2 linked regions of the Caenorhabditis elegans genome follow. The protein of the gene in region 1 purifies or fractionates together with the protein of each later gene. This does not show direct contact. Each region holds a gene or a part of one and is shown on either strand. Other genes may lie near its edges. The genes, in order: dnj-12 and selt-1.1.

Evidence for each region.
Region 2: the proteins of dnj-12 (region 1) and selt-1.1 fractionate together in Caenorhabditis elegans (co-fractionation; one large-scale study listed by BioGRID). This does not show direct contact.

The regions. Positions count from the first base shown.
Region 1 is NC_003279.8:14,755,494-14,759,579, reverse strand, and holds dnj-12 (DNaJ domain (prokaryotic heat shock protein)), read right to left. Parts: upstream 2,518-4,086; 5' UTR 2,502-2,517; coding exon 2,352-2,501; intron 2,305-2,351; coding exon 1,849-2,304; intron 1,801-1,848; coding exon 1,359-1,800; intron 1,309-1,358; coding exon 1,148-1,308; 3' UTR 795-1,147; downstream 1-794. Other genes in the region: tmem-107 (Transmembrane protein 107), read left to right, coding at 333-419, 471-794; mtx-1 (Metaxin-1 homolog), read left to right, coding at 3,204-3,272, 3,321-3,575, 3,625-4,086.
Region 2 is NC_003284.9:11,544,299-11,548,243, forward strand, and holds selt-1.1 (Thioredoxin reductase-like selenoprotein T homolog selt-1.1), read right to left. Parts: upstream 2,198-3,945; coding exon 2,131-2,197; intron 2,088-2,130; coding exon 1,988-2,087; intron 1,791-1,987; coding exon 1,683-1,790; intron 1,631-1,682; coding exon 1,507-1,630; intron 1,457-1,506; coding exon 1,112-1,456; 3' UTR 793-1,111; downstream 1-792.

The sequences.
Region 1 (4,086 bases):
GAAACGTTAAATGCACACTGGGTTACGATACCTGCACATCTAACTCAACGCTGCCGGACACCGGCCATGGCCGCCGCTATGGGGTTTTCTAGGCCATTTCTCGCGTTTCGAGAAATTGAAATCTATTTTTTCACAGAAAAAGAAGGAAAAAAAGGGATTTTCAGGGTTTTTTTTTTGGAAAATGAATAGAAAATAAAATTTTTCATGTAAACCTATAGGGTCTACAGCGAAAAAGCACTCGAAAATGTAATTGAAAGAAGGAACGTCGCCATGGCAACGGGAGAAGTGGGCTAGTGGAGTAACTCATCGATTTTCGCAAGCTTCTTTAAGAAATGTTCACGAAAACGGACACCTGTACTAAATACTTTCAATGTTTGATGGGACATTTCGCCTTGTCGACGATTACAATATTTTCTCAGGTTAGGAAGTCTCGAAAAAAATTATTTAAAATCTAAAATCTATTTTTCAAGGCTTCTCATTTGGAAGCATCAGTTTCGGGCGGTGCATCCATCAGTGAGGAGGCCCGAATAGGCTTCACAGTTTGCCTGGTCTTCACAAAACTCGCTATTCTCATCGAATTCGCCTCAATTCTCGTGGATCTCCCGTCGCCGTCTCGATCTCTATATTCCACGTTGTCACACACGATTGCCAGCATTTTCTTTCTAATTTTCATCTACGATTCGCATCCACCTGCACATTTTTGGCTACTTTTCGCTTTTCTTTCCCTTCCACCGTGCGTTCTTGCCGTGAGCGCATCGATCGGCGGATTTAGGCGAAAGGAATGGCAAAAATAAATCAATTTTTTTATTCTCCCTTGTTCACAAAAGACTGACGGACAGTCAATTAAGGGAAAACGTAACACTGAAATGAATGTGGGTAGGATATCGATATCAAACAAAAAAAGTAATGAAGAGGGGACGAAACGAGACCATATGGAGCAGGAACTAAAGTTGATGGGAATAAAAAGTAAAACGAACGGGGAACACAAAAAAATAAATCAATTTCAAGATCACAGATCGTCGAAATTAGGCTTATGAGTTTTTAAAAGATGAAAACCATGCAGATAGTAGGAAAGAAATGGAGCCAAGTTTGAAATCCTAAAATAGTGAAGGAAAGTGACCAGAAAAAGTGTAAATTGGTGTGAAATTCAAGACTGTTGGCATTGAACGCCTTGTGGCCCGTGTCCATGTCCACCGAATCCACCGTGTCCTTCAAAGTCGTCGCGCTCAGCGAAATTCCTGCGAGATGCTTGTGGATCTAACTCGGTCAGCTCAACGACTTCCGCGTCTTCATCAATGATTTCTTCTCCTGAAAGAAAAATGATTAGTATTTCACACTGTAAACGCAATAAAACGAACTCTTTCCAGGCAGTAAATCGGCTAGCTTCTTCGCGGCATCTGGATTAATTTTATCGGGGAATTTCACATCGAACTGTACGAGAAGATCTCCTTTATCAGATGATGCTCGACGCATTGGCATTCCCTCGTTGTGGATCACTTTAACATCGGCATGAGCAATAACCTCTCCAGGAAGAACACGATAGAAAATTGTTCGACCATCAAGTGTACTGATTGTTCGCACAAATCCGCACAGAGCCTCGGAAAGATCGATATTGTGTTGAATAATCAGATTATCGCCTTTTCGGACGAATTTCTCGTGTTCAACCTCGTCGAGCACAACTACAAAGTCTCCAGGCTTCTCAATACCGATCACTTCGTCTCCTTTTCCTTCGAACACAAACTTCTCGCCATCTTTCATGCCAGGCGTGATTCCAACTTCAATAATTTCGTCTTCTTTCACCTGAAATCACTAATTATAGTTTCGAATTCGATTGGAGAAAAGTCAAACCTGCTTCTTTCCGTTACACTTTTTGCAGCGATCTTTTTCAAGGAATGTTGAGCCTTCTCCATTACAACTGTCGCAGTGAGATTGCATTTGTTGAACCATTGGTCCCATTCTGATAACACGAACCTTGATTCCACGTCCACGACAATCAGAGCACTCCTTAGCGGATCCCTCGTTGCCTCCAAGTCCCTTGCATCCTTTACAAGTGGCAGTTCTTGAGATTTTCAGCTTTTTCGTAACACCCTTGTACAGTGTGTCGAGTGTGACCCGTAAATTGTGAACCGTTGGTTTTACTCGACGTTCTCCACGACCACCACGACCACCGCCTCCGAAGAACATGTCGAATACGTCGAACGGATTGTGGAATCCCTCTCCGCCACCACCACCGCCTTGAAGTGCTTCTTCTCCACCCTGATCATAAATCTGACGTTTCTTCTCATCTGATAATACTTCGTATGCCTGCAATATGAGTAATTTCAACTTTGCAGCTGGATTTCGTAACAAACCTGGGAGATCTGCTTGAATTGCTCAGCTCCGTCTGGATTCTTGTCTGGATGGAATTTGAGCGCCATTTTACGGTAGGCCTTCTTCAACTCATTGTCTGAAGCATCCGGCTTTACTCCGAGAACGTCATAATATCCTGTTTCCTTCACCATTTTGATAAATACGAATCTGAAAAAGAAAATAATAATTTTTCTTCATTTATCGACGAATTTCGAGTGTCAGAATGAAAATTATACCAAAAAGCGAATTGTTTTGCGTAAATCCAACACGATAAAATCGATTTTGAAGTCAAAAATGGGGAAAGTCAAGAGATAAAGGGCGAAAAAGAGGAGAAAACGCGAAAACTGTTCTAACGATTTTTCGTGAACATTCTCGACACTTTTATCGGTGGAGCGCACTTGCAACTCACCAAGCGGGGACATTTTTGTCTCGTGGAAACTGATTCGTGAGAAATATTTTAAAAATGCACGATTATTTGTGGAAAACTAAAAAAAATCTTACATAGATTTTCATTCAAAACAACTATTATACAGGATAGCAATTGGGGAGATACTGTAATTTTAAAATCTTTTTAAAAATCTGTTTTTTTTTCATTCATGAATGAACTGCAGTTTTGATGTTTTTTCAAACGTATTCTTCAAAAACTCGAGAAATTAGCAAAAATTGAGGCTTTGTTCGAAATTTTCCGCAGCTTCCGTGATTCACACATTAAAAAAACTCCAATTTAAAATTCCCGCAAAAAAGTGGCATGGCCGTGACCGAGGTTTCACCTGAGCGGCTCCATTTTTTTCCTAGTCCATCTTGATTTTTTTCCGAATTTGGAATTTCAAGCTCAAAATTTGTTTGTAATATCAATGGAATTACACATTTGGCCGTCAGACTTCGGTCTCCCAACTATTGACGTTGTGTCTCTGCAGTTTTTGGTAAGATTTTGTGTCAACTTTGGTTAATTATCGTCATTTCTGTTCCAGGCGTGCTCTAAAATGTGTGCCAGCCCAGTAAGAGTCATCCAATCGACCCGTCCTTGGAGATCGCCGAGCGGTGAGCTCCCAATGGTCGCTCAAACCGAAGGAGAAGCAAAACCAGTGACAGATTTCGAAAAATTTGTGGATATTCTGAAAAAGTGCGGCCAAGACGTGGTTATCGATGCAGACTTGACCACTATTGAGAAAGCACAGTTGGACGCATTTTCCTGTTATTTACATCACAATTTGTATCCAGCAGTGGTAAGATTAAAGAAAAATTAAGCTGAAATAAATCAATTTTCCCTTCCAGATGCACACATTTTGGACGGACGAGCTCAATTACAATACAGTGACGCAATATTGGTACGCATCTCATCTGCATTTCCCCTACAATCTGTATTACCTCGAAAAGCGACGAAAGAAGGCATTGCGATTGTTGGCTGGAAAGAATGACACTGAAATTTTGAAAGAAGCATTCATGGCGTTGAATACTCTATCCACAAAGCTTGGCGATAATAAATTTTTCTGTGGAAATAAGCCGACGTCACTGGATGCCCTGGTATTCGGCTACCTTGCTCCACTGCTCCGAGTTCCACTGCCAAATGATCGTCTTCAAGTCCAGCTCTCAGCATGTCCGAATTTAGTGAGATTCGTGGAAACTGTGTCATCAATCTACCTGCCACTTGGCGAAGATGAGCTCAAAAGACAACAAGCGAATCGGAAAATGTGGCAATCTCGGATCTCGAAAGCAAAAGCAGACAAAGAAGCCGCG
Region 2 (3,945 bases), on another chromosome or scaffold:
AATTTACAGAAAAACTAGTTCATGCAGGTATTCCGATGGTTTTCTTTGTCACATCATCATTGGACAGCCCGCCTGTTTATCCCCTCATATCATACAATTTACGAAACACCCTATTTGATAGACAATATTCTTGATCCAGAGTACAAGGCAATAAAATCCCAGAGTAAACCTCGACAATTATCATTTTTCAGATGCATAAAGCTATGGGCGAGATGTTAATTGAGTGCATTTTAAACTTTTCGGAAAGCAGAATTCTTCCTTATGAGTAAGCACTGCAATTTGCGTTTTCTACCAAGTAGAAATAATTTCAGCTTAAAAGAGTTAATGGACAGAGTTCTTGATGAGTATTTCCCGAGAATACAACAACACATTAATAAGGCTCAGACTTTTGAAAACATTTCTGAGTACTTGACTGAGCCCCAGAAACAGTTTGAACTGTTAGAAAAGACAGCAAAGGTATGCATGCTTATGAAAACTTCAATTTTCACATATTAGATTTTTCAGATTTGAAAAATGTTTCATAAACCCGCATGGTATCCTTGGAGATCCGCAGAGTCGTCATGTGCTCTTCCGCCCGAGTGCGGACAACTGGTATCGTGGAAACGCAATCTCTCAAGTACACAGCTTGATATCAAAAATGGAAACTTCAGTAGACGACGAAGAACTCTTAAAATATTCTAAGCAATTATCCAAGGAGATTGCTTTTGTAAATGTTGCATTCATTTGCGCGAAACATTCCTTAAACGAATTTTTTACTTTGTGATTTGTTTTTAAATAAACAAAACTAATACTCTAGTAAAAAATATTATTTCTGAAAAATTTCAAATGAAAAAACTGGTTTCAAAAATTTGATTCCTTAATGGTAAATAATTATTTAAAAAAAAACAAAACGTAACATTATTTGAATAGAAAATCATTAGAGGTGAAATAAAAGTGGCGAGAATTTTTATGACTGCAAATAATTTACACACGTTGAGAAACAAATAAAAAGTTAATTTAACTTAATAAAATAAGGCGTCGGATGACGAGTGAGGGAATGAATCAGTTTGAGCAGCAAGAATACATTGTAAATAATTATGGTAACACGGTGTCAAATTGAAAACATAGCGTTTTAGACAGTCTGTTGGAACTCTCCAAATGATTCTGTGTTGACAGGAGCTTTTCCGAGCACCGCAAGTTGAGCATCGATAAGTTGCATGAATTCCTGAGGGGATGGTACACGACCTGACTCGATTTTACTCCAGATTTGTTCATTGCCAAGGTAAACTTCGAATGCTCCAGTAGAAATGAGACTTTGTTCAACAAGGTTGCCGAGCATGAACACCAGCATACAGGACGACATCTTGTTTCCGTGTGCGTGCTGCAGAATCTGTGGGTATCCAAGACCAAATCTCTCAAATGGATTTATTCCACCTAGCACCAGCACGAGAACTGCCATTTTGACGAAACTGAGAGCCTAAAAATACATTTTATAAATAATCCAAGTCACTTCAAATTGAACAGTACCTGAGCAACATAAGCTTTCCAAAGAACCGGTGCAAAGTTGGCTCCTTCAATTGGCATATTTGGATACTTTTCTTTGGCAAAAGTGGTGAACTGGTCGAAAGCTTGCTTATAACCACATGAAACACTGAAAAATTATGCATAATTTCTAGTAGAACCTATATATGTATAAATATTACCAGTAGAAAATTCTCAATGTTGGAAGATCCTTGGCGTGGTGGACGGCTGTAGGCTTAACAAATGAGGATTGCTCCCGGACTTCAATATGATCTTCTTCGGTTCCTTGACTGAAAAAATTAAGTTTTGTAGCACTTGTTTGAAAAATTTCAGTTAACCTGTTGGAAACTAATTATCATGAACTTAGAAATTTTATTGAGCACCTTAGAAAGCTTGAAAAATTGAAAACGGTCATGCGTTAGATTTTCACTTTTTTGAAAATAAAATTGATTTTAATTTCACAATTCGACCTTTAAAAAAATAATACCTGAAGCTTTGTGAATCTGTTTCGTCTCCAAATTCTGCTTCAAAATCGTCCTTTTCATGTACGTGGTTCTCATCGTGTGAATGCTCTTCCGCTGAAACAGCTACTTGGGTTGTTTATTTCATTTATGATGTGTCACAACTTACTTCTCAGCACATCACAAACTGACATAAAGAAGAGAACTCCTATGATAAATACCCCAAACCGTGACATCTGAAAAATCAATAATGGCAAAAAAAACATCAAAACACTATAGAGAAGGAAATGAAATTTTTCATCATCTTTTTTGCAACAAAAAAAATTAGATAAAAATGTCAGAGAAGAACACATTTGATGAAGTGTTTTACACTAGAAAAAGCAAAGAAAGCGGACGCGCAGGAGAGTATGATATGACAGAAACACCCTCTCGACACACAAGCGGACAACACAGGGTATTCCAAACGAGCGCGCAGCACCAAGACCACTGCGGAGTCTCAGCGATCAATACTTGACTCGCCCGTAGCAAACGCGCCCCATCACTCGCCAGTGTCTGATGCCTCCGCGCCTCACACACTCTCTCGTTCTCTTTGAACGGTTCTCGGTGTGTGTATGCGTGTGTGTTTGGAGGACGTTGAGTCACCTCATATTCGCACACTCGCATAACCTTTAATTTTATGTGCACAGTCTTCTCTTTCCTTGTTTCTCATTTTAACTCGTTTTTTATTGTTCATTGGATATGATATGGGAGGAGTTGTTTTGATGTGATCAATACGCTACGTTATAGAATTAGTTTCTTTTTGAGATTCTTAATGGATTCTTGGTTTCCGTGAAGGTCAAACAGTCAAACACAAGAAATCGGTTTCCGAGAAAGTGAACTTTGTTGTCGTGCAATTGCAATATCTTATTGAGACTTTTTTACAATGAGTTAATTTCTTATTTTGGTACTTGTGTATTACATACTTTCATTTTAAAATTAATGAAAATGCTCATTGATTTCTCCGTTTAAATTGAACGTGATGTGGAATTTTCCTCGTTTGGCTCAGAAATGCTTATTTTCTAATTGTAAGCTTTAAAATATAAAAAAATTTCCACACTTTTTTATTTTTACAACTTAAAAATTACTTTAAAAATGAGTGCATGTAATACACAAGCAGTGTTTGCAAGTTTAAACTTCCTTTCAAAAAAAAATATGTATATCTTAATAAATGTTTTTCACCCCCAGTGTCTTAGAAAAATGTAATTGACCATTTCTCAAATCTAATGACAAACATCTTGCTTTTGCAATTCATCGTGGATTCTCATTATTTTTGAAAAGCATCTATCTTCTTTTCGTGCTAGCATCTCAATCTCAAAAAGTTACACCACCAACAATACGCATCTCACATTTGCCGAGGTGGAGTGGTGACAAACTAATTGAATCGCATCCGGATTCTTCCACTTCTCACTCCTGAAGGAAAACAAAAAAAAAAGGAACTTGCCCTTCTCATCCATCTTTTCCCCCAACCTAACCCATCTCACCTCAAATGCATTAGTTTTATGGGCTTTTACGACAGATATCAATGACTTGAAGAAGGAGGGGGAGTCACTACGTGTGTATGTGTATGTGTGTGGATGGCCTTTAGACACTAACATCCTCAGATGTTCTAAATTAACCGTCCGTACACTTTGCAATTTCTGGGGTCAGTGCCCACGACGCGTTTCCTCTGGCTCCACAATGACTCATCCGCAGATGTGTGAGGTCTCCCTTTCTCCGAGGTTTTCGTTTTTCAAATGCTCATTTGCATTCAAAACGATTCGTTCTTCACATTTTTCTTTCAATTCTCCAAATTTTCGGTTTTTGTTCCACGCTTTGTCATGTTTCTCTTTCATCACTTTGTTCGCTACCCATTTTAGGATTCTTTCCCCATTATTTTCTATTCTGCGTTTGTATTGTTCTAATGGCTTCATGCCACGTCACGCAACAACATCGTATTTTGCAATGA